4 linked regions of the Caenorhabditis elegans genome follow. The protein of the gene in region 1 interacts with the protein of each later gene in a pairwise test. Each region holds a gene or a part of one and is shown in the gene's direction. Other genes may lie near its edges.

Region 1 (5,543 bases):
TTTTTTTCCAGATTGGAGCAAGCTGCCGCACTTGGAATGGGAAATGCTCGTTCTCTTGCCTCACTTTTTGACAAGGTTTGTTCTCGTTTTTTTGATAAATTTATGAGAATTTTAAGTTTTTTTTCGTTTTGTTTGAACATCGTTATCAGCTGAAACTAGGCTGATAGCGAAGAAAAGAAATTTTTAAGTCGAACAAAAAAAAAGAAAAAGGAAATTTCCTTGTGACTGTTTAAAAAAACTGAAACAAAAACGATAGTTAAGAGGATTGTTTCAGGTAAATCGAGGAAAACTTCTCAATCAGGCTACACTGAACACGATAAGCAAACCGTTCGTCAACGAGAGTGATTTCATTTTTGATGATACTGTCGCCAAGGGACACGGATTTTTCCATTTGCCCATTCATAGAGCTGGGGTGAGATTTTGAATAATCGAAAGAGGGACGAGGGATGATGGAAATTTTGAACTGAAAAATTTTAAAAAATCCATTTTCACAATAAAAAAACCAAAAAAACCAACAAAAGTCTGAAAAAACTCTTAAAGAACGAAAAAGTCAAAATTCATCCAATAAAGCAGATTTTTTAATTTTTGCCAAAAAAAACTTTTAAAAAATCCATTTTTGCGAAAAAAAAAACCACTGTCCTTTTTCCCATAAAAAATTCAAAAAAATCAATTTTTCTCAAAAAAACCCGAAAAGTACCTTTTTGCTAAATAAACATAAATTAACAAAAATTAACAAAAATTAACAAAAATAACAAAAATTAACAAAATTAAAAATAAATTAAATAAATAAACATAAAACATAAACAGCCAAAAATTAATTTTTGCATTAAAAAAGACTGAAAAATCCATTTTTGTAATAAAATTACAACTGCCGAAAAAAGCAAAAAAAAAAAAATTTTGAAACCCCCAAAAAATTAGCAAAGGACCAAAAAAAAAGAGCCCAGGTGGTGAACAGAAAACGAAAAAACAGGAGAAATTGTTGAAAAACCATTAATTTCGAATTCATTCAAAAAATGAAAATGCATAGAAAAAATATTTAAAACCCTAAATTTAGCTAAAGAACCTGCAAAATGTTAGGAGCGTTTTTTTATTTAATTTTCAGTGAATTTTTTTAATATTTTTCTTTCATAATTCGCCATATTTTCAGACTCAATTCGGCTTCGGACATACCGGGCACGGATGCCAAATGGTCATCACAGATCTCAAGAATCGAGTGACAATTGCCTACGTCACAAATGGGTTGAAAACGGGACTCTACGACTTGTGCAGGACGTACTGGGGACTTCAGACTTCTGTATATGATGTCATCGAACAAATTAATATTCAATCATAATTTATTTTATTTCATTTTTTAATTAGTGATTCCATATAGTTTTAAGATATATCCCAAATCATCCCGCGTGTTCTTTGTACAGTCCGTTTTTAATTCATTCATTCCAAGTGTCGTTCTCTCAATGTTGAAGCTTCTTCCCCCGTAATTAACTGACCGAGTGACCCCACAAAATTGCATATTTATCTGCTCTCTCTCGATTTCCTTACTAATAAACCATCAGTTCACCAGTTTTTAACCACATTTGCGGGGAGCTGGCAGGTGGTAACCCGCAAGTTGCCAGGGGCAACGAGGGTGGCTTAAGGCAAGTGGCCGCGCGGAAAAGAGCTTTCCAGGGGGAGAGGAAAGCAGGATGTCCATATTTGGAAGCATTCTAAGTCTGCAGGATGCCATAAATCGATTTCCGCAGTTTGAATATCAGGTGGGGAATATTAATTGTTAACACGAATTTGAAAAGGAATTCGATTTTTTTCAATTTTTGGATTTTTTTGTAATTTATTTAAAAATTATTATTGTGAATTTTTTAATTTTTCCATTACACATTATTAAATAACTAAAAATTGAATTCGTGGTTTATTGTTCATTTCCAACTAAAAAAATCCCTTCAATACCCAAAAAGTTGCAGTGGGGCGCATTTTCAACGTTTTAATTAAATTTCAAACGTATAATTAAAACTGAGTCTCGTCACAACAGATTTTTGTTAAATGCGGAAAGGTGTGCGTCTTTAAAGAGTACTGTAATTCAAAATTCCAGAATTTTTTTTAAATTTAATGTACATATTTTCATCTAAAAACTATTAAAAAACTAAAAAATTCCTCTGCAACGAAAGTTTGGAATTACAGTACTCTTTAAAGGCACACAACTTTTCGCATTCGACAAAAATTGTCGTGTCTAGACCGTAAACCGTATTTTCAAGGAAAAATAGCAAAAGCCTTTTTTTCAGATAAATCGCCTCGAAAAAGAGCAAAAAGACACCGAAGCCGCGTCGAGAGCAAGTTTTCGCAAACATTTTGTCAGACAGTGCCAGGAATTGCATAGACAGGTAAAAATTGCATTTTCTCTATCTGCCTTATGCCTGGCTGCCTACGGGCCTACCTACCGCCCATTATGGGATCTCCGGTTTGATTCATAGATTTTAGGTCGACCAACTTTCTATTTAATTTCAATTAATTGTTTACAAACATTGAAAAATTGTTAGGCATATGTGTAGACCGTAGGCACTCTGGTAGGTAGGCATTCTCGTGCCTACGTAGAAGTATCATTCAAGGATATCAACATATGCATACAGTTTGCAGCTCGACGATCACCGAAATCGAATTGAAAAGGCCAAAACTGACGAGACCTACAAGAAAGAAAACGCTCTAGAGCAACTTGACAAGTTGAAGCAAAGATTGACAGCTTTGAGCCCGGAAAAGGAGCAATTATCGTTTTCTGTCAGGTAAAATTATAATTAAATTCAATTTCTCTAATAAATAGTTAAATATTCAATTCCAGTGTGGACTCTCAATCAGAAGAAGAAAAACCGAAAATGGCTGCAATTGGCCGCCGAAAAAGCACAATGTATAACGATGATGAATCAGAAGATTCTGATAATGATTCAGAAATTATTGAGACGGATGTTCAGCTGGATGATCCTCTTCCGAGTCAGCCACAGCCTCCACAGCAACAGCACCAGCAACCTCAACCAAAACCCAGACAACCTATCACAATTACAAAACCTCTTGAATCAAAGACTTTGAATGAACGTCAAGAACTTGATGAAGTCATCTCAAGGCTTCAGAATCCGAGTCGTGGAGATTCTGGAGAAGTTATGGAACCAGTTGTAGTCCGTGGCAATGTTTTTGTTGCAATTGACAGTTGGGATGCAGAAGCTGAAGGGGATTTGGAGTTAATCAAAGGAAAGAAGTATCGAATCACACAGACAAGATCCGATGGTTGGTGGACTGCACTGGATGAATATGGTCAGAGGGGTCTTGTGCCAAAGACTTATTTACAACATGTTAAGGAAAAGCCGAAGAATGTGGTTTGTTACTTTTCTCTAGTATCGTTAGTTTAATAAGTAGAAATTTTCAGCCATCAAAAGTGTCTAGTCGCCTCGGAGTTCGAGATTCGGTGATCGGAATATCTACGACTACTGATCCATCAAGACGAGAAGCAAACCGGCAGGCATCTCGAGTTGATGACTGTCTTGGTAAAGCATATGACAATGACACTCACTTGTCACTAGTGTGCCATATGGCTCCGAGACTATCAACTTCAAATATTGGATTTCATGATCTTTTTTGGAGTCATTACAAGGATCAGGTAAAAGTTTAAAACTTGCAGTTTCTACCCAAAAAATGCTACAGTTTTGCCAAAAAACCTCTGAGTCTTCCTAAAAACGGCTGAGAAAATTGCTTTAAAAATTTTTACTATGAATCATTTGCTACTCATAGCAACACATTTTTTGCTCACTTTCATAAATCAACTATATTTTTTGCAGGTTTACAAGCGAACTGTCCATATATCAAAAATTATCCGTCTAGTTCGATTTGAAAAGATGCCCCTAATCGAACACAAGGCACTTGTCAGAATGGCTCTTGTCGACATCACAAATCCAAAATCCACTCAAATTGTGAGCAACGTGCACACTCTTGTGCCACGTGTCAAATCTTCAACGTGGTACTTTGAGAAAAAAGAGAGCCAGACGAGAAGCTGCATCGAGTTTTCTGATTTTGTTCTCCGCTCAAACTATCGATCTCCGACAGTGGTACTTGTTGTGGAAGCATCTCATTTGGTGAAGACACAAATAGGAATTGAGGAAAAGAGTTTGGGACATACATATCTGCGACTGATAATTGATGATAAAGCAGTGCCAAGTAGAACGAATGTTTTGTATTTGGATGATGAAGTGATGACAAAAATGAAGTTGCCGGAAGCTTCGAAAAGAAGAGTTCTGGTTCAAGTGATGGATGTTCCCAAGGATAAGGTTTCATATGTGGAGTGAGTTTTGGAAACTAAGAAAGCTGAAAATCTGGATCCCTGACCTGACTTTAAGTTCAACCCAAATTATTTTTCCAGCTCCCTCCCCGATGTCATAGTATTCAATGCTCTTTATTTACCATTCTTCCACTTTTACCGCCGACGAGCTGGAACCATTTTAATTCGGGACAATCGGAATCCATTGAGTGCTGGTAGGATTTCATACCCACCCAAACAATATTTTGAACTAATTTCAGAATTTATATCTGACCCACTTCTCTCTGTATTCCCATTTGTTTGTGACCAGCATGACATTATGGATATAATGCTGAAAATTTGGAAAACCAAAAAGAAAGTGCTCGCCAAGAAAAACGAAGCTGAACAAACTGCCGAGTTCTTCCAAACTTTTCTACACACCGCGTTTTTTATTCATGGGATTCGAATGATTTCGTATGATGTCAAAGATGATCTTACTCTTTCGATTAGGCAACAGGTAGAGCTGCTGCTCTTGGAGCTCGTTTCAAAATCAGGCTTCGATTATTGTAACATTTCAGACTATGCAACGATTTGTGGATGCATTGAATAAGGGACTTTTCAAGCAGTTCATCGCAGATCAACAATGCAAACCAATCAATATTATCGATTATTCATTGGATCTTTTAGGCAATCATTCTATTGACTAATTTATGGAGATAAAATTAAGCTCAATAAAAAATTTAACTGTGTAATAAGTTCTACTCATCTAGCATCTAAGCATAGAAATGTTTCAGTCATTGTTTCAGTAAATTTCAAGTTTTGAAATTTTTGGTTTTGAAATTTTTGGTTTTTTTGTTTAATATTTGAATAATTTAGAGTCGACTCCCAAACATAGGAGTGGTAAAACTGAGCAATGGCCATTTTTCAGTTGTAAATTTTCACACTGTACCCTCTCAAAAAATGGATTTGAAATGAAATATGTTTATTCGCAATAATGAATAAAATTGGGCGATTTTTCAGAATCACAGCCTCATCGAATTTATTCCATTAAGGGGTTTTATTACATCATGAAATTCTGCGAGCTGACGATCAGGATGTGGTTCTGAGAAATCTAAGAGTTCCTAAACTGGCTTGCCGCTGATTACAGTAGCGGCAGCGGAAGAAGCTTCAGGTGCGGCGGTAGAGGCCTCGGAAGAAGCAGCGGTTGATACCACAGAAGCTCCACTTGCAGTAGTATCTCCACCAGCTGTGGATGCAACGGATGCATCGGTTGCTC
Region 2 (4,798 bases), on another chromosome or scaffold:
TCGAAACTCCGAGTTTTTTAGCGTCGATGCACCATGCTCCAACACGAGCTTTCCCCCCCCCCCCCCCCCCCCTCCCCCAAACCAGCAAAAAGGAAAACAAGAAAAACCACTAGAAGCCATGTAAGTCAGCTATCAATCATTGTGTCCCCGTCCCTCCGTTGACACTTGATTCTCGAATTTTCACTGAGCTTCTCTAGACTTTTGCATTTTTAACATGAACCAATATGTAGATCCTATGCTAAAGTTTTTGTACCCAGAAATTTCTGACATTTTTTCAAATAAAATTTCACATTTTTCGGCGCAAAAATATAAAAAATTTTTGAAATTTAAAAAGTTCAAATTTTCGAGCTTTCTCTACATTTTCCAGAGGCTCGAAAAATTGTCTGCGCTCTCATCTACTAGTATTTTTTGGGTAATTCAGTTTTCACCCAAATGTAAATTTCACCCACTCTCCTTACGCCCGGCTCCATTTGATTTTGTTTCATGTTTCTCTCCGTCTCCATGTGCATTTTGGATGCGGCTTCTCCCCTTTTTTCGACGCAGAAAAGGGGGTATAACATTTCGACTTTACGGGATTATACGCTTTTTCGTCTCGCCTTCTTTCTTGTTTCACTTCAATGAATACAAGATTACCCACACATCTCTTGAAATTAAGAAATGTTTCGTTTTAAATTCTCCAAATAGCTTTAAATTTTGAGGAAAGTTCCTAGCTCTCAGATGTGCTCAGCGATCTTAAACCTAGTAATGTATATACTTTTCTGATTTTAAAATTTGAAAACCATGACTGAAAAGGCCCGAATAGTTTCTTTCGTGAGTTAGTCTTTTTTTTTCTTCCTTTTTTTTCCTATTTTTTCTTCAAATTTGATTAGACATCTTCCAGTGTCAAGCCATAATTAAAAAGTGACGTTTCTTTTTTTTTTTTTGAAAGTCTCTTCTTCTTTGAAAAAATTTTGAAATTTCTTCTTTTAAGCTCGAAATGCTCCAAATAAGTATTCACATTTTTCTTTAAAAAAAACTGTAGCAATGAGAGATTTCAAATAGTCCAAGTCCTGAATTTTTCGGTCTCGAGCTCGCGGAGCCCAGTGTCTTTCAGCTCTAAAAAGCACAAATTTGAATTTTTGAGGAAAATGAACACAAGTATCAGAATCAGCGTGTTTAGTGTTTTCAGATAATATTCATATTGTCCAGGTTCTGAAATTTCTGGGTTTTGGCTCGCGGAGCACCGGCAAGAGCCCGTTTCCAGAAAATCGACACTTTTTGGTGCTCCGCGAGCCCATTCCTCAAAAATTCAAAGTCTAGCCATGTTTATTCTTTTCTAAACCGCAAAATCTAGGGGAATTCAAAAATTCTAATCACACAGCCTAAAAGCTTAAACTAAAAATGTTAGGCCACCAACCTTGCCTCTAAACAATCTCAAAATTTCATCAAAAAGTTTGTGGGGCCCCTTAGGGGGACTGACGTTCTCGCTTTTCAAATTGATGCCCCTATTCCTCGCCACTTTCCTCCATCTTTTTTCTCTTTATCTCTAAGTTTCTCTCTGTGCTCTCTCTCTCTCTCTCTATTCACTTCCTTAGCTTCAACCCCTCCAGACACTTTCCCCTTTTCTCCTTCACCCACAAAATGTACATTTCATGGTTTTTTTTTTTGGTTTTTGAGTTGTTTCTAGTTATTTTTAACTCTAATTATGGGTTGAAAAGGTCTCTGGGGAAATTTTAAGAAAATTTGTGGCTTCTCTCTGACATTTTGCTCTTTTTCCCCCTTTTTTTGCTCACGAAAATCCAATTTTCCAGTTTCAGAAAATGAATTTCTTCAAGCGAAAATTCTCGTTTTCCGAGGATGAGGGTGAGCCAATGGATGACGTGAACTCGGGACCGCCGAGCTCTTTTTCATTTCAGTCGATTGCTAATAAGGTGTCTAATACGATAAGGTACGAAATTTTAAAATAAAATAAAAAATCTCAAATATTTGTGTGCTCCGTGAGCTCGGCCGGCTGGGAAGACTCCAGTTTAGAAAACTTTGAAAGTTTGAATTTGACACCCACATAGCTTGGTTTTTAAAAATTTTGAGTTTGGAGCTCCCGGAGCTCACAGAGCAGCCGATCCTCCAAATCTCTAAAATTCCAAACCTAGGCCGCCTTGAGCTTTTTAATCTGAAAATTCAAATGAAATTTTCAAAAACCTTTTTTTAATATATTTTTCCCAGTTTCCAGTCAATTTTGTCTGACAAAAATTTAAAAAAAGAGCTCAATATGCTTCATTTTCCAGATTTTTCAAATTCCAGTTCAGAATTGTTGTACAGCCTGCCAATAGCATCAATTTGACACCCATATTGCTTGGTTTAAAAAAATTTGATTCTGGAGCTCCCGGGCTCACAGAGCCGCTCATGCTTCAAATCTCTAAAGCTCCAAGCCTAGGCTTGTTTATACTTTTCTGAACAGGCTCGAACTTTTTTGTTTGAAAAATTGATTCTAAAAGATTCTTATCAGTTCAGATAATGCTCGCGGAGCACAGGAATGCTCCAAATCTCTTAATTCTAAACCTGGGCTTGTTTATACTTATCTGAACCACCTGATCTTTTCAAATTCCAAAATTTCACCAGATCATTTAAAAAGCTCAAATTAAAAGTTTTATTTCAAAAAATACACAAATTCTCAAGAAAATTTGTCATCCACTTCAAAAAAAAAAAAGAAAGAACCAAAAAACCCGCTAGCGAAAACATTCATTAAAATTGTAGTGTGCGGCTCTTTTGAGACTGCCAAAGATAAAAAAAAAATAAAATATAGTGTAAAATGAGAGAATCGTGGGAAATTTTCCTCAGAGAATTTCCTTCATTTTTCCCGAGAAAATGCAAATCTGGGTATCTCCATGGAAACCCGCACATTTTTTTTCTATATTCTGTTCTGCTGCCAAGATAACATGTGTTTAAATCACTTTGTCAGATATGTTCACTTATTTCAGTGCTCCAACGTCACCTGCCAAGTCTCGGGAATCACTTGCCGCTGCACTGGAGAGGTCACTCAATCATGATAGGTTTGTTAGCTGGAATTTTGCTTTAAAATTGTTCGAAACAAAAAATTAATAAAAAATTTGAGTTTGGCTCAAGAGAGAGCTTTCATTTGAGTATAATCATGACATGTTTTGATCAAATTTCAAAACTTAGCGATCCTGCCGCGAAAACCTGGGAATTTTCGTGATGGGACCCAATATTTTATGACAAATTTATAAGAATTGAACAATTTACAAACGCACATCAAAGATTTTTGCTTTAAAAAACCAATTTTTATTTATTTATTTATTTACCAGCCGTGGACCGCACCTTCGGCGCGGCCCCCGACTTCTGGGGCTGAAAATTAATTTTTTATGAAACTACCGTAACCCTACAGTATTCCTACCGTACCACTATTGTACCACTACAGTACCCCGACTATATCCCTACACTAACCCCCAACTCACTATCCCTCCAGAAGCTAAAACTTCGCAGACTACAAAGACTACATAGACTACAAACTATGGACAAACGGAATAAGCGCTTTATATATAGTAAATGATTTTGATTCAATTATTTGTATTAAAACATTGTAGGGGTCGAAACATGCGACATTGCTTGGGATTTCCTCAAGAGCTCATATTTTTTCGAAATTTTGGCAATTTGCCAAAACTTTGTCCGGAAATTTTGAAAAATCTAAAATTTTTTAGAGTTTTTTGATGTGATACTCGGTTGTCTTAAATCATTATAAGTGTATTAAAAAAAAAAAACAAAAAAAAATCCACTGACGCTACTCCATCTTTGAAAATTGGTCAGTTTTATTGATAATATATCATAAAAAATTTCACACCCGTAAAATTGCTCGAAATACAGCTTTTTGCAGACATTCGATTATTTTAAATATGTACAAGGCTAGGTAAATACTCTGGTAACATTTTGGAAGTTTTAATTTTTTTTGAAAAAATTATTTTACCATGCGAAAGGCTTACTCAGGTTTAGGCCTAGGCTTTGGTTTAGGCTTAGGCTTAGGCTTAGTCTTAAGCTTAGGCTTTCGCGTAGGGTTAGGCTTAGTCTTAAGCTTACTCTTAGGCTTAGGTTTAGACCTAGGCTAAAACTTATGCCTTGGCTTGGCGTCAGTGACGCTATTTAGGGTTAGGATTACAGCAGCACTGACGCTATTTAGGGTTAGGATTACAGCAGCACTGACGCTATTTAGGGTTAGGATTACAGCGTTTTTTTCATTTTTCAAAGGGTTCCCGTTGGCCGATCAAAGCGAAATTTAACACAGAGACGTATAGGCCACTAAGAAGCTTTCGTGTAAAATTTCAAATTGATTCCATCAAAACTCGCCGAGTTATGAAGCTTAAGGTGTTTTCAAAATGACCCTCAACTATTTTTTTAAATTTGAAAGTTTGGCGTTTTGTCAGTTTTCTGTCTAAGCTCACGAAAATTTAATGACAGGAGGACGGCAGTGAAATAAGTTTTCTTGTGAATTTTGAGCCAATTTCGATTTACAGGAGCCGAGATATTAAGCTTCAAAATCCAAAAAAAAATGACCCTCGCTCCGCCCCTTTTTGTCGACAAAAAGATTTCACTTTGAAAACGCGCGTGTAACTTGACGGTGGGTGGATGGATTTTGATGCGGTTTTTTGCTGTCTTTTCAAAAAGCTTGCCCTACCTCTGTATTCTTTTTTTCAGAAAGATTGGAGCTCATTGAGCCGAGATATTTTGAGTCAAACTCAAAAATCGCTATTTTCCGTCATTTTCGGGTGGTTTTAATTGAAGGAAAATTCGAATACTTGAGATTATTTCA
Region 3 (7,357 bases), on another chromosome or scaffold:
TTCGAATCGTCTGCTTGACTGGAATCAAATGCTTCCAGTAGAAAATCGAAAAATACGCTGAAAATACTATATTCAAAGCAAAAATTTTAAAATTTCAGCTCTTACTGGTCTTCATTCACATATTCTCCGGTTGGTGATGATAATGTAATCGGTTCTAAGCAATATTTCTCATTATGACGTATCCAATGGGTCGTCAAAGTATTCTGAGTGTCAAATAGGAAAGATGATAAAAATGTATATATTGTTTCATGGTGACGAACTATCTGAAAAATAAATAAATTAGAAAAATGTAATTTTAAATGTTAAAACTCACCAATAAAAATTCAGAGAAAAAAAATAACGCAGAAATCGGAGTGAGTAGAAGTGAATGATTATCTCTTCTTGGTGATATACTTGAAAGTAATAGAGGGCTTAAGTATCGTGTTGTTACTGAAAATTTAACATTAAAAACTTGATTTTCCAGCAGTAAAACTGACCTAAAATTGATAAACTTTCGGCGACAGCTTCCACATCCAATAGTTCACCAATATAATGAATCAAATCAATTAAATCATCCACTTTTCCTCGTAATCTCTCTCGATTAGCTAACACATTCTCAGCAGATCGTACAAATGTGTCCATTTCAAGTGAGAGACCAACTAGAGAATCTATTAACTCCGATAGATATTCCTGTAATATTTATTGCTTAAATACACCTTTTCAAAATAATTTTCTACTAACTTTTGTATGCTTGATAGCGAAAATAATCATTGAATCATCTTGAACTCTCACAATATTTAAAAGAATATTTCTAACAGCAATTCGAACCATTGATTCATTCCAATTATAAAGCTTCAAAACTTCTACCAACAATGGAAATTCTTCAGTCGTTTCATTGAAGAAGAAGTGGATTGTAGCTGGATTCAGTTTAAATGAAAGAGTTTTCAGAAAACTAATGTAGTAAGCCATGATCTCATCATTTTGTAAATCGAATTTGTGGGAAATAATCGAGTTTACATGATTGTTACTTAGAAGGAAATCTGAAAACTGGCAATTTTAAGCGAAAATCCATATAAAAAACTTACAAAGTGAAGTTTCATGTCGAATATTTTCGAATAAAATGTTCAAAGTCTGCAGTAATTGTACATTTAGTGGTGTGTTTCCTTGTTCCATAATTTTCAAGAAATAAAGAAGCATTTGCCGCTCAAGGAAGAAACTGAAATTCAACATCAGATTTGAAAAAAAACATTGGAAAAAAACTCACTCAAAAACCGAAGCATCATTCTGATCGCCCCAAATGAGAATTTCTGCGATAGCTCGTAATGCTTCTACTAATATTTTCTTATTGTTTTCCGTAACTTTCTCATTTTTTGTGAGCACTCCTTGTAAATATTTGAGGTATTCCAAAGAATGCGGATTTTTCGGCTTCCATAGTGACCCAGAAGAACCAAGCTTGCGGAACATTATCGATTTTGTTCCAGGTTTATTGGTGCATTCTGAATATTTAAATATTTATTCAAAGTTTAAAAAGAAAGATTTAGCTTGAAAATTAAATTAAAAGAGAAGATAAAAACTGCGCACAAGGGTGCGCCGAAAAAAAGTTTTACTTCTCAAACGATGCTCCGAAATAACGTTTTCGCGTGTTGTTTATTACTTCAAATTTCAGTTGTTTATTTTTCAGAAAATTGTTTTAATTTGTTTTATCTCAACTTTTTGACTCAATTTTCCATTTTTATTTTTAAGCAGCATGAAACAAACAACTCGTCCTCCTGCTCAATATATAGTTGCACCTGGAACACGATTCCGTCTTGTTGCCAATGAATACGACAAAAATAAGTATGGACAATGTAATTATGCTTCGTATCGAACGCTTGTTCGGTGTAAGCAGGTGAGAAAAAATACGAAAATTTGATAGTAAGCTTTTTTTCAAATTTAAAATTTTAGATACGATCAAAAGAAGAACTTGCGAAACATGGCGGCCGTTGTGAAGAGCACGTCGAATTTTCAAAAACGTTAGAAAATAATCATAAGAAAGAAGTGATGCGGTGCCATGCGGAAAATGATTCAAAGATGCAAAGACGTCGTTTTGATCCGTGGATTGCATCAAATGAGTATATTTCGTAAGTAAAGTTTTTTTTTTGAAATTGAAAATAACAATTTCCAGAGACGATGACGACTACCTCCAAGCTGCTCAAACAGTTCCTCAGCGTCTTCCAGATGTGGCAAATGATGATATATTGGATAATAATTCGTTAAGGTATTCTTATTAATTATTTTTCTTGGGAATTAGAAAAATAAATTCGAAATTTCAGATACGCTGAATACTATACTGACAAAGATATATTGAATATCAAGATGGATTTAGTACAAAAGGATATTGACGATTTAATTGAATTTAAAGAATTGGTCACAAGTCAAGCACAAAAAGAGCATGAATTGTTAGGAAATGATGAAGAAGAAGGTAATTCAATTTAATAGGCATTTTCGATGAAATTTATTGCGTTTTTCAGATTATCCAACAGATATGGCCCAGCGAAGAATTTTCAAAGCATCCACAAAATACTCAAGGAATGACTATCTGACATTGACGGTAATGAATTCTGAAAATGTTTCATTATTCTATTGATATTTTTTTAGACAATTGATCCAGTATTCCATCAATGTTGTGTTGGACCAGATATGGATGATTCTTTAGTTATTGTACACACAATGCACTCTATTTTGGATAAAATTGACAATTTTGAACCAATCGACTCTGAAAAGCAATGTAACAAGCCGGCGCTTCATCTTAGCAAATTTTGCTTTGATCGTAAGTTTTAAAAATATTTTTTCGTGGCTTACAAATTCAAAGTCCAGATATTATACTGGATCGTTCTCAAAAAATGTTCGATGTCTGCAATGCATGTGGTCTTACTGCAATTGGAGGAGTTGATCCGAAATGTTCGTTCCATATAAGTGAGTGCCAAATCATTTTGAAAAAATCTGATTTTAAAAAAATTTCCAGAAAGTTCTGCAATAGCTGAAACTACGTCTTGCCCGTGTAATCGGTGTGTCCAACCTGGTGAACATGCTTCCCCGAAAGATGAGAAAAATTCGGTAAATTGTTTTTTTTTCAATTATAGAAAAACATTTTTTAAGTCGTTATTTTTAGATAACCTGCTATTTGAATTCATCCGACGACGACGAGCCTACACTGGGAAACTTGTCAAGAATCGAATCGGTTTGTTTTTCAGACATTTTTGAGTTAAAAGAGAAAAAACCGATCAATTTAGATTTTGATATTCCCAAAATGACCTCAAGCAGCCGATTTTCACTTCTCAAAAATTTCCAAAAAGTTTTGTAGCGAGGTTTTTTTTTCAAAATTTTGAACAAATTCAAATTTTCTGAAATATAAAATTTCACGAGGTTGTCCGTGTCGCAGCAGTTATCAATTTTGGAGAAGGGTTTTTTTGAGCGATTGTGATCATTTTTGCCAAATTTCGGTCTAACTTGTCTAGTTTCAATGATTTTAGGAAACCTATCACCTTTAAGTGTACCTAAATCAACGTATGAACAAGAAATAAACTACCACAAAATGTAACAATAGGTGAAAAGCTTTATTCTATTTGCTGGACCAAAAAAAGTTGGGTTTTTTCTGTTTTCTGCATTTTTTTGCGCTTTTTTTCAAAGGTTTGTGAAATTCGGTTTTTGAGGTGATTTTGAACCTATTTGAGCCGTTTAATATTCTAACATTTAAAAAAGTTACAGATGGTTTCCCCAATGCAACAATTTTCAAATCAATCGAATACATTAACTGCTCCATTACCCCGTCGTTATCAAGGTCCACCGGCTCAAGTACTCCGGCCACCACAAATGGGACCACCTCCAGGAATTAATCAAGTACCATATCAACCAAAAGCTAACAGAACTCCTCCGATGACATCACAGCAGCTCCACGAGCAACAGAAATTAAAAATGCAAGAAGAAGAGATGATGTCTCAAACGTGTGCAAGGTGGGTCTTGATTTTACGATGAATGTACTTTTAGAGAGATAATAGTGATTTCAGAGTTCGACCTATTGATGCAAGTCAGTTTGGTGGAGGAAAGAAGAGTTAGTTTACGATTAAAATTGGAAAATTTCAATTATTTATAATTCCAGAACAACGACTACCACCAAGACGTTCTCCATCATTTGGGACATCTCCAAATTCTTATCAATTCCATCAACAATCACAAAAGAAAATGCCATCGATAATATCGACAGCGTACAATTCGTCACCTGGAAAAATGAATTTTCAAGGATGGAAAAATCAATCTACGAGCTCGGCTACACGGCCTCTTCCACAGGTAATATTATTCAAACAAGCTCCACGTACATTTCAATACGCTCCGCCCCCGAGTCATGGGTCTCGTTAGGTATTTGGCGACAAAACCGAAAAAAAGACGAAAAATGTTGTAATATTGAAACGTGATTCGGAAAAATTTTAATATCTGGATAAAAATTGCACTCTTTTAAAAATGGGAATGACTGTTTTTTTTTGAGAGAAAGGAAAATTTAAAAATTTTTAAGGTTTTCAGTATATCAGAATTTACGTTTTTGGCTCACTTTTATTTTCGAAAAAAACGAAGAATAAATTTTCGGCAAAACATTTAAAAAAAAACCAAAAATCTACAGGCCCTAGTCCCAAATAATAATTTTTTCCAATCTAAAAGTGTCAATTTTATAATTTTCTAGCCTCGTTTCCCAGTTCATGCAGCTCGTTCACAGCAACCGAAGATGATTCCATTAGAACAAACTCAAGATTCAATTGAAGATGATATTGGACCATCACCCATGTTTCAAGGACCAGAACCATCGAGACGCGGTGTTCCATATTATAAAAATGCCTATCGAAGAAGTAAAAAAAAAGTCTAGTTAATAAAATATCTAATCTTGAATTTTCAGCTGAACTTCCATCTCGTCATGCCCAACACTCTCCACTCACTCCATCTACTTCTACATCATCATCTCAGCTATTGGCTCCTCCTAAATCACCACAACCCGGTACATCTTCTCAAACTTTTCGATCTCAAGCATCACGTCTTCCAATAGCACCACATCGTGCTATAGCTGCAGGACTTAATCCAGCCGATGTCGGAACTCGCCCAGCTTATAGGTAATTTTTTCGTGAAATCTAACAATAAACTGAAAACTATCACCGTTAGCTGGAAATTTTTCAAGTTTCTACAATTTCAATTGAAGTTTACATGATTTCAGATCTCAAATGGCTGGCCAAAGACCAGGAATGACGCCGTCAGCGCAACAAGGAAGCCCTCAATTAATTTCTCCGCCAAGACAAGGATCTATGATGCCAGTAGCAATGAATCAGAGCCCTCAAGCTGTTCGGCGACAAACTCCAGTTCCACCTTACCGTCTTATGGGACCCCAAAGAGTTACAACAAGTTATACGGTTGTTCGATCAGGAAGTTCATCGTCTGTAGCTGGTCCATCAAGAAGTTCTGTGGCTTCGGGGTTTGTATTTATAAATTATTCGAAATTCACAAAACCTTCAAAGAATCTGATTTCTTCTGATTTCTGAATTATTTTCAGCTCCCAGCATACTGCATTGGACACAGTTCAGCATGATCCACGTTTGGCAAACATCAATGTACGAACATTTTTGTCAATTGGAAATCGGGATCTTTCAACACTAACTCAAGATGAAATAGATCTCTTGATGGCTGGAAATTCACCGGAAAAGGGAGGCAGAAAGGCCGGTGCTCCCGGTGCAAAAGAATCATCAAAAGCTGCGGGAGGCGCTCAAAAAGGAACTTCTGCAGCTTCAACAAGCGTCCCAGAACCGACGAAAAGTTCAGAATCATCAGTGGATCCGCAATCAGATGTATCATTTTCGAATCCTTCACCAGCTCCAGAAGTTATAGAAAAAGTTGCACCAGCTGCGATGACAATAACTTCCAATAAACGGAAAATCGATGAAACTTTGGCATCTGAATCAACATCTTCGGAGGCTACATTAATACACGATACAACTTCTTCTTCTTCTGCAGAGACAGTGTCTGGAGAGCCTCCAGCAAAGAAATCATCAGATGTTTCAGCACCTGTGCCATCTCCAGAAAAGGAAAAGGAGAAAATAGGTTAGTTATTCTACTTTTCCAAAATCTTTGTAATTTAATAAAGATTGATATTTTAATAATATTCTCAATTCTCAGATCGTCCAAAAACTCCAAAATCATCTACAAAACGGACAACACCAACTCCATCCGGAAGAACACCACGGGCGGCCGCAATTGCAGCGAATCAAGCTATTTCTCATTCAAAACCTAATGTTCCCTCTGCGTCTACATCTTCTTCGGCTGCTTCCACCGATCAAGAGGTAAAATTTGTTTTTATATTGTGAAGTATCATAGGAAAAAAATTATTTTTCAGAATCCGCTAGATTTGCTTGCTGAATTGTCGGTAGCTGCAGCTGCTGAAGAGCAACAACAAGCAATAGGGAGTACGTCGAAAAATGGAGGAAGCACAAAGAAAAGTGAGTGAGAAATTATTTTTTAAACTCATTATAACCAAAGATTAATGTTTAATTTCTCTACTTTTTTCCATTTTCAGCGCAAAGAAAGTCACCTTCTCGTTCATCAATAGGAAAGAAACGAGAAAACAGTGAGGAATATGAGGAGGAACTTTGAAATTTTAATTTTGCTTCAACTTTTCATAATTTTTAATATATTGTTTCACGATTTCGCTATCCTCACCATTATTCTCTTAATGATCTGTTGAATTATCTTATTTTCATATAATTTTCACCTTGTTACCTCCGAAATTATGCATTCTTATTAATGATTTTGTCTCGCCTTACAGTTAATCATAAATAGTTTTATTGTATTCTCCATCTCCCTTCTTATCTAGTAATTCCCCTCATGCAAATCCATTCGACATTTCGGCGCAACCTTCTCCCGCACAAAGAGCTCTTGTGTGTTACGTAACAGGAGGTGTCAATATGAACAGAAGACACCTCAAAGAAAATGATGTGCAGAGTATATCCGGTTACCATTTCTACGGATTATGTTGGCGGCAAAATAAGGGATTAATTAAAGGATGAAGTGTACACTTCCCTTTTTTCGTTTGAAGGATCAAGATGATCCTATCAATTACTAAATAAACAAGAGAACGCCTGGTTAAAGGTGCACGCATTTTTCAGACGTGGTCTTGCAGCGAAAGTTAACATTTATGATTACACTAACTAATTTTTTTGAAAACATTTAATTAAAACGAGACAATTCGTATTAACATTTTTTAGATTTTTAATTTTAGTTTGGCATGTACCTTTAAAGTGATACATGTATGTATGCGGAAATAGGTGCAATATAAATAAAAACCATCCGGATGCATTACAATGGAGTA
Region 4 (7,836 bases), on another chromosome or scaffold:
GGGGGGTATCATATTAACTTAACGTCGTAATAATTTTTGTTTTTATGTTAAGATTTACAAAGTAAGCTGACATGCCTTATGCCTAAATATCTACGTTTTTTTTAAATAACGAAGCAGACATGCTTTTTTCTATATCTCTAAAAATTACTTTTGCGCCAAATTAAAAATGTAATTATGCACGGTTGAACTTATCTAAAAACTGTATTTCCTCTATTAGACTTGCACCCTTACGAGTCAATCAAAAATTAGTCTTGCATGCAAAAGTAATAGAGGCAATACGGTTGTTTAATGTTGTACAATTATCTTAAATAACTACCTAATTCAAATTATTTCATTTAAAGTTTTGATAAGTTAGGGGGTTTCAAGTAACTTCAATCACTTCTGCAGAGGAAAATGTTTGAAAACAATAATTTAAAACAAGTTCAAAATTTGAAAATATCAGTGTTTATTTCCTGCTTTTTAATGATGGGTGAAAAGTGGCTCAGGTTTTTTGACGGAAAATTTCACATCAACTTTTGAAATTTCTACATTACATTTGATCATTTTAGTTTGATATTAGCCGCTATTCTTGGTGGCCGAACTTTTTCGCAATTTCTAGGCCACGCTGAGTCGCTATCAAACTTTCTGTTTTCAGGTCACACTATCTCTGTTTGTTATCATTTATTGTTTTTTCTTTACCTACTTTCTTGATAAGATATATGTATCATTCTTTTTTGCGTTTCTTCTGCGAGGTCAAATATGTTCTGTTTTCCTAATAAATTAGTTTTCAAACCAAAAACCATCCTATGTAGTTGCACTTAATTAAAAATTATCTGGTCTTAAATCTGAATGGTCTCAACAATAAATCATGTGGCAGCTGTTAGCACCTGTCACTTGACACTCCTTTGTCCAGTAGACTGCTCACTTCCCAGCATTCCAGTACGTACATTATTGCGTTCTGTTTCTTGGTCAGATTTATTTTCAGTCGATAATATAATCCGTATTGTCCTTTTTCTGCTGTTTTCAAATAATTTTTTGGATTTTTTAACTTATTCCAATACTTACTTTTTAACATCTTATTAAAATGAAATTTTAGAAACCAAATTTACCAAATTTTTCCTGTAATTTTGAAAATCTAACCGAAAAATTCCAAAAAGTTTTATTGATGTTTTTTTAGATTATTGAAAGTTTTGTTTTTTGCAATTTGGCAATCTTTTGATTTCCATAAATCAAAAAAATACAATTTTTTAAAAATTTAAATAAAATATTTTTTGTAGGCAAAAATATTCAGAAATGTATATTTTCAATACTTTTTCTCGTTTTTTTGTGTTATTTTTTGTAAAACTTCCTTATATTTATCGCAAACCAAGAGCATTTATAGGATGAGTTGGATTTTCCAAAATAAAACTTGAAGTTTTAAAATTTTGAAAAAAATTGAAAGAAAACGATTTAAAAAATTTTTCAATGAAAGTTACAATTAACTCTCAAAGTAATTTTGCAATTTGAAGATAAAATTAAAAATCTCAATTTTGTTAAATTTGAAATCAGGTGAAAATTTGGAGTCAAAAATTAAAAATTAGTTACAGAATTTATTAGCATTTTAAAACATTCTAAATTTTTCCAATTTAACTGTATATATTGAAATTGTAGTAGACTTTGTGGAATTTTTGTCAAATTTTGTTAAATAGTTTTCAAAATAATTTGCCCAAAAGGCGGAAAAATTGAAACAAAAAGTGAACCTGTGTACCTAAAAATATCATTTGATTTTTTTCTGCTTCTGATAATATGCTTAATCTATTTTTTTACTTCTAATAATCACGCAAGATTTCCAGAAATGAAACTTCTCCTTCTTCTCTGCATATCCTGTATACCCCTAGCCTATTCTCATGATGGTGAGCCATTTGACTACCTAATGTTCACCACAATCTACCCAACCGCCGTCTGCCGTGCCGATGATGATTCAGTCCCTGAATCCTGTGAGATTCCAAGTGGTACCCCTCAATGGTCAATTCACGGATTGTGGCCAAACTTTGAGAATGGCTCGTACCCACAAAATTGTCGTGGGACTCCAAGACATTTCGATGAGAATTTGATAAAATCAATTGAAGATCGATTGGTGTAAGTTACAAAAATTTGGAATAAACTTTGAATATCACAACATTTTAAATTTTCAGAGTTGTCTGGCCAAACCTCTACCCTAAAAAGACGATTCAATCCTTCTGGAAACACGAGTATGATAAGCACGGGACATGTGCTCAAAGTGAGAAGCTCTTCGAGTCAGAGTTGGCTTACTTCACAGAGTAAGTTGTTTCTAATTAAACGATGATTTTGAGTTTTACTTGTAGATACATCTACTGAATTTAAACTCTTTCAAAACTTTGAAAACCAAAAAAGAAGACCTAGTTTTGGCATTTTTGCGCTCTCCAGCTATATTAATTGGGATTTCTTTCTTTTTTTTATTTTATAATTTGAAACATGATTTTTTTGAGGCAGTTCCCATAAAATTATTTCTGCTTATCAAGTTTTCTTTACTGTTAAAGAATTGTGTGAAAAATTGGCTATTTTTTAAGTAGTAAAAACTAGGCTACTCATTCGCGCGGAAATTCAAAAAAAATTCAGCTCTTTTTATGTTTTGTTTTTTTTCTTGCAAAATTAAACAAAATCATAACAAATAACATAACAAATAACAATATTCGGTAAATATATAAAGCATATAAAGAAAAAAACTGTATTCATTCGAATATTAAAAAAATAATGATTTTATGTTAATTTCAATAAGTTTGATGAAATAATTATTTGTGAAGTTGATGAGATGGTTCAATTGTCTATACAGTTGAAACCGCAACTGCTGAACTGGGCACTGCTGTGTTATTCTTCATCCGGCAACATATAACTTCTGTAATAAAAACAATTATATTAGATCAATCATTATGCCATAACTTTTCAAAAAAATTTTGTATTCCGAAACAATCATCATAAAAGCGATACTATCAAATGATGGGTAGAATCCAACAAGTGAGTACAAGTTACCAGTTTGCCAATTGACTTCAAGTTCGAAAATTGGTGCAATCAATGGGGTCATCAATATCGGCCCAGTTGGTATTATTAAGAAAATAGTTGGTCCAATAGTTTGCATAACGAGAGCAAGGAAAAATTGATATTCAAGTTTTTGATTTTGAGTTGAGAATTTCTTCAGCTCTTTTTTCATATTTCGATGCATTTGAACACATGTAAATATAATAATGCAATATGAAAAACTGATGAGAACAATTGCGAAGAGTAAGAAAATTATACCCTTCGCTCGAATTGAGCCATCAGCTGCATATGGTACCATTGCATATCGTGGCAGTTCGGATACTTCCAGTGCGTAGTTTTCAAAAATGGCTTTTCTGTAATGAATAATTTGAGATAAAATTAAAATGAGAAACTTTGGTTTAAAATTACATTTATGTAAAGAGATATAGCGACCGACATTTTGCGAGTCGAACAATTTCTAAAAATGATTATTGAATTTTGGTAAACCCTTTTTTTTCAGTTAAATGATAAACGAAATGTAATTACAGCAACAAAAAAAAACTCAAAAATGATACCACGTTTTTAAACAATTGGGCAAAGCAGTGTTTGAAAAGTGCTAGTTCAAACCTTTACTGTTAGCTCTAGTTTACTGTATTTTTGAAAAAGAAAACGTTTCTAGAAAAATGCTTTAAAGTGGACTCACAAAATGTCGGCCGCTATATCTCTTGACCTTCATGTTAAGAAATATCTTAACATACCGTATTTTGTCTTGCATGCAAGACTAATTTTTGATTGACCCGTAGGGGTGCAAGACTAATAGAGACTGCAAGACTAATTTTCGAAGATCCAATAGCTTTATGAAATTGGCCATTTATCGTCAAAATTTGACTCGAAATAGTCTAAATCATGCAAAATACATACTTTTCTATTGTTTTATCAATTATTTTAACACTTTAAAATTTAATTTAGCTATAAAATGGCGATATTGTTGAAGTTTTCAAAAAATACTGCTGGTCTGGCAAGAATAGGGATGGAAGACTATCACCGTAAGTTCTCTATTAGTCTTGCATGCAATACTAATAGAGGCTGCAAGACTAATAAAGGAAATACGGTAGTTTATTCAGTAGACAACATTTCGAGCAAAAATTTTTTAGTTGAAGTTTTCTTTATGAAGTTCCTAGTTTTTGAGCTATACTCAATTACAATATACATTTTCAACCAGCAAAAAAACCGAAAACATATATATACTTTCGCTTACCCGTGTAAAACAAATGACGAATATTAAATTAACATCTAGATTTGCCAGTAGCTCCTTAATTTGCTCACCTTATATAAGAATCTGTGAACTCATCAGAACCACACAAATAGTGTAGGGACAATGCGAAAATTGTTCCTACTACCAAGGGATATAAAATCCAGATGATAGTTTTAAGACCGTCAAAATATTTGGTTTTCTGTTCATTGAATACGCACAGATATCTGTACACAAACTGCACAGATATGAATGAAATTACAATTAGGTAGAATTGGGACCAAATTAATATGAAAATCTGCCGAATTTTGAGTGGAATATTTAGTTCGCATAAGTTGAAGGACAACAGCGCACCGTTATAGTTATGAGTAAACGGTTTCATGATCATTTCTAGTCCCGAGAAACTTGTGCTCAAAACTGAGATATATATGATCATTTTCTTATAAGCTCCAAAAAGCTTTTTCGCGTGAAAGACAGTAATCCAGATTAATACAAAGTTAGTACTGAAACTGGCATAAAACCCAACTTTTCTGCAAATTTCAGAAAAATCGTACAATCTCATTCTTACTTTTTCGAAGACTTAACGAGAGAATTAGAGTGTTCGGCCCGGGAAATATTTTTTGTATGTAATGAAGAAATGAAGTCTACGATTTATATTGTATGAAGCACCGGAAATTAAATATATTATACAAACACCAACCACAGTCTGTATCACTGAATTCTTTTTTTAAAAAAAATTTCACAATATTATTCACAAGTGGCGAATGATAAAAACACATGATGGTTTTCAAAGAATGTACCAATAAATCTTAATACAATTTCTGTCTGATTGGGAAACTATTTGTCGGTGAATTTTACTATCGAGCTTTGTAAACAGAACATGCACACAAATTCAAAATTCCAAAAAATAGTTCATTCATTTGCGCGGGAATGCAAAAATAATCATCTCCTTAAAAAAAATTTCGTAGAGTTGAAAAATCATTGAAAAATTAGAATTAAAAAAAATATATAAATCAGTCTTGGTAAGCATGAAATTTCTATAGTGAACTAATCAATAACAAGAAATACATAATTTTTTCAGGGTAATGAAAGTCTTCGACTCTATCGATGTGGCTGGAGGATTGAAATCAGTTGGACCATCGGAAAAACCAATCACCTCGAGCGACTTGAAAAACGCGTTGAGCGGAGTCACCAGCGGAAAAACTTTCCAATTCCATTGCCTCCGGGATAAGAAGGTACGCTTTTAAGCCTCAAAATTGTCATGCTAAAAAATTAAATTTCAGACCAAACAGTTCCTTCTCGGTGACATTCGCTTGTGTCTCAACAAGGACTTGACAATCCGAGACTGTCCGACTGATGGAAAACATCCGAATCGAGTCAGCAGATTCGAGAGATCAATTGGCAGAAATAGACGCGGGCCACCACTTCCAAGCTTCCAGGTTGGTTACGATTTAAAATTTTGTTTGACCTTTTCCAAAATTCCGAATCCTTCATTTTTTGTTGGAATTTTGCAATTTAATAAATTGCCGATTCAAGATTTTTCGGCAATTGACAGTTTTCAAAACTCTCAGACCAAATTTTTCTCGAGATACTTTCGGATTTTTTATTCGAATTTTTCCACTGTCAAAACAAAAAATTCGGAACTTTTACATGGTGCCTAGAAATATTTATTGAACACAAGTATGCAGCGGAGTTCCCAAATCCGAATCATCATAGTATGGGGTAGATGTCTCATTGTAGAGAGTTGTGACAGATTGAGATTGGGTAGTATTCGAGTAGGCCGGATCATATGACATTTTGGAGAAGTTGTCCTCGGTACCAAGCTTCAACGACGACTTTTTCATGTCGGACCACTGGGGGACCTGCAAAATTGCATGTTGAACTAGGCAGTTGTCGGCTGCTGGAATTATGCATTCGCATACTTTGAAACGTTCCTTCTGTGGTAGGCTGGCCGGCCTGAAACCCACCTGCTTCTCGCCTTTTTTCTGCATTTTATGAAAATCTTTAGCAGAAGGCGAGGCAGGCAGGCATCTCGTCGCCTGCGTCCCTAGTAAAAAATAGAATTGAACTCACCGGTGTCAATTTCCCAACTCTCGGAGCAGTCAAATCGTTGAATTCGCTTCCGTGTGGAGACCAATCCGAGCCGGAAGTGATCGGCCAAGAGAACGAACTGATTATATTGAGCTGGGGACGGGACACCGGATCAGTTTTAGCCTTCGAAGATGGATCCTGCGGAGATGCGATTGCATAGATTTCCTGAAATTGTCAATTAGAGCGCTGTTGCATAGTCGGAACTTACCGGGTTGTTAGCAATGAAATTGAGAGTTTCACGTGCTTTGGCACGCTGCCCCGGAGTCACTTTATTGGGGAAAGTGGTCTCGAGAAGCTTTCGTTTTTCCTCGAATGTCATTTCTTTTGTCGGAACTTTGACCTCCTTCTCTTTTCTGAAAGAAAGTTTTTAACATTTTTGAACTTTCCAGCAATCTGTGCTAAGTGGGTTTACGGTAGTCATTGCATAGGAAGTGCGATTTTTAAATGGAATTCTGGATGTTTCAGAAAATTCCAGAAAATTCACGGGGTTCTGGCCTTCTTCACTGAATTTTTCGCGCTCCATTGACAAGGCCGGACAGCGCGTGGGAAAGTCGTGTACTCCACCCGGACAAATACACTTAGTTTGCAACTGAAATCGAGTCGCGACGCGACACGCAACGCGTCGTAAATCTACCCTAGATATGGCCGAGCCAAAATGGCCTAGTTTGGCAAACTCTTAAATTTCAATTTATGAGGGAAGCCAGAAATCCGTGAATATTTCAGAATTTTAAATGAAGTTTCCAGAAAGTTCCAGAATTTTCTCAAGTTTCCCACGTTTCTAGAACTTATTCCAAATTGCTATTTACGCGGGCTTCTGGCTTTCCTCAAATTTTTAAATGTAAGAGTTCGCCGAATTAGACCATTATCGCTCTGCCACATCTGGGGTCGATTTACAATGCGTTGCGTGCCGCGTTGCGTGTCGCGTGTCGCCTTGCGTTTCGTGGCTCGGTTTTCATTGTAAATCTATAGGTATTTGTCCGTGTGGCGTACACGACTTTCCCACACTTTGTCCGGCAGGCAATTTTTTGTCAATAGAGCGCGAAAAATGCATTGAGGAAGGCCAGAAGCTCGTGGTTTCTCGAAAAAGGTTAACCAAAAAGCTTCAAGAATGGAATTATAGGAATTCTCTAGAAACTTGTATTTCCCTTTTTCAGTCATGCAAATGCACAGAGCCAGACAACCGTAACCGTCAGAACTCCAAAAATGGAAACTCACGGCTTTGGTTTTCCAACCGTTGCTCCGTAGACTCCAAAAATCTCGCCAAACATTTTCGAGTGCTTCTGCATTTCCTTCAAACGTTGCACTTCTTCAGATGATTTTCCCGCTGAAAAAAATTAAATTTAAAATAAAATCCAAAAATTTCAAAGTTTCTTACCGGAAAGTTTGCGAAGCTCATCGATAGTATTTTGAATCGACTTCATTTTTCTTTCGTTGAGAAGAGTAGTTTTGCAAATTTGAAATAAATTTTTTTCCGATAATTTTGTGAGTCGTGGAAAACG

Evidence for each region.
Region 2: the proteins of nphp-1 (region 1) and snn-1 interact in a two-hybrid assay, tested with the Caenorhabditis elegans proteins (one large-scale study listed by BioGRID).
Region 3: the proteins of nphp-1 (region 1) and sumv-1 interact in a two-hybrid assay, tested with the Caenorhabditis elegans proteins (one large-scale study listed by BioGRID).
Region 4: the proteins of nphp-1 (region 1) and rnst-2 interact in a two-hybrid assay, tested with the Caenorhabditis elegans proteins (one large-scale study listed by BioGRID).

What each region holds. Positions count from the first base shown.
Region 1 is NC_003280.10:10,648,369-10,653,911, reverse strand, and holds nphp-1 (Nephrocystin-1-like protein), read left to right. Parts: upstream 1-1,655; 5' UTR 1,656-1,682; coding exon 1,683-1,751; intron 1,752-2,273; coding exon 2,274-2,372; intron 2,373-2,625; coding exon 2,626-2,768; intron 2,769-2,824; coding exon 2,825-3,353; intron 3,354-3,403; coding exon 3,404-3,634; intron 3,635-3,812; coding exon 3,813-4,312; intron 4,313-4,390; coding exon 4,391-4,503; intron 4,504-4,548; coding exon 4,549-4,784; intron 4,785-4,845; coding exon 4,846-4,974; 3' UTR 4,975-5,019; downstream 5,020-5,543. Other genes in the region: lact-3 (Beta-lactamase-related domain-containing protein), read left to right, coding at 12-75, 275-412, 1,148-1,333; M28.10 (Flo11 domain-containing protein), read right to left, coding at 5,389-5,543. UniProt on the Caenorhabditis elegans protein: Plays a role in the extension of dendrites from phasmid ciliated sensory neurons. May be necessary for initial assembly of the cilium.
Region 2 is NC_003282.8:1,812,098-1,816,895, reverse strand, and holds the start of snn-1 (ATP-grasp domain-containing protein), read left to right. Parts: upstream 1-1,796; 5' UTR 1,797-1,799; coding exon 1,800-1,927; intron 1,928-2,957; coding exon 2,958-3,029; intron 3,030-4,798.
Region 3 is NC_003281.10:5,248,556-5,255,912, reverse strand, and holds sumv-1 (Protein sumv-1), read left to right. Parts: upstream 1-1,725; 5' UTR 1,726-1,726; coding exon 1,727-1,867; intron 1,868-1,923; coding exon 1,924-2,099; intron 2,100-2,143; coding exon 2,144-2,236; intron 2,237-2,291; coding exon 2,292-2,440; intron 2,441-2,489; coding exon 2,490-2,569; intron 2,570-2,616; coding exon 2,617-2,788; intron 2,789-2,835; coding exon 2,836-2,934; intron 2,935-2,983; coding exon 2,984-3,075; intron 3,076-3,130; coding exon 3,131-3,199; intron 3,200-3,726; coding exon 3,727-3,971; intron 3,972-4,016; coding exon 4,017-4,069; intron 4,070-4,117; coding exon 4,118-4,305; intron 4,306-4,693; coding exon 4,694-4,856; intron 4,857-4,903; coding exon 4,904-5,114; intron 5,115-5,215; coding exon 5,216-5,470; intron 5,471-5,548; coding exon 5,549-6,093; intron 6,094-6,168; coding exon 6,169-6,332; intron 6,333-6,385; coding exon 6,386-6,488; intron 6,489-6,565; coding exon 6,566-6,642; 3' UTR 6,643-6,838; and 1 more. Other genes in the region: gop-1 (Protein CLEC16A homolog), read right to left, coding at 1-57, 106-263, 314-429, 477-669, 721-1,019, 1,065-1,195, 1,244-1,443. UniProt on the Caenorhabditis elegans protein: Nuclear factor that influences the activity of genes involved in vulval development.
Region 4 is NC_003283.11:1,059,784-1,067,619, forward strand, and holds the start of rnst-2 (Ribonuclease T2 protein rnst-2), read left to right. Parts: upstream 1-1,811; 5' UTR 1,812-1,813; coding exon 1,814-2,097; intron 2,098-2,153; coding exon 2,154-2,279; intron 2,280-2,804; coding exon of another isoform or gene 2,805-2,875; intron 2,876-2,919; coding exon of another isoform or gene 2,920-3,368; intron 3,369-4,320; coding exon of another isoform or gene 4,321-4,808; intron 4,809-5,327; coding exon 5,328-5,481; intron 5,482-5,529; coding exon 5,530-5,685; intron 5,686-5,898; exon of another isoform or gene 5,899-5,913; coding exon of another isoform or gene 5,914-6,108; intron 6,109-6,319; coding exon of another isoform or gene 6,320-6,502; intron 6,503-6,545; coding exon of another isoform or gene 6,546-6,690; intron 6,691-7,552; coding exon of another isoform or gene 7,553-7,661; intron 7,662-7,712; coding exon of another isoform or gene 7,713-7,758; exon of another isoform or gene 7,759-7,785; intron 7,786-7,836. Other genes in the region: str-67 (Seven TM Receptor), read right to left, coding at 2,805-2,875, 2,920-3,368, 4,321-4,808; K10C9.7 (Homeobox domain-containing protein), read right to left, coding at 5,914-6,108, 6,320-6,502, 6,546-6,690, 7,553-7,661, 7,713-7,758. UniProt on the Caenorhabditis elegans protein: Probable endoribonuclease involved in the autophagy-mediated degradation of ribosomal RNA and ribosomal proteins in lysosomes.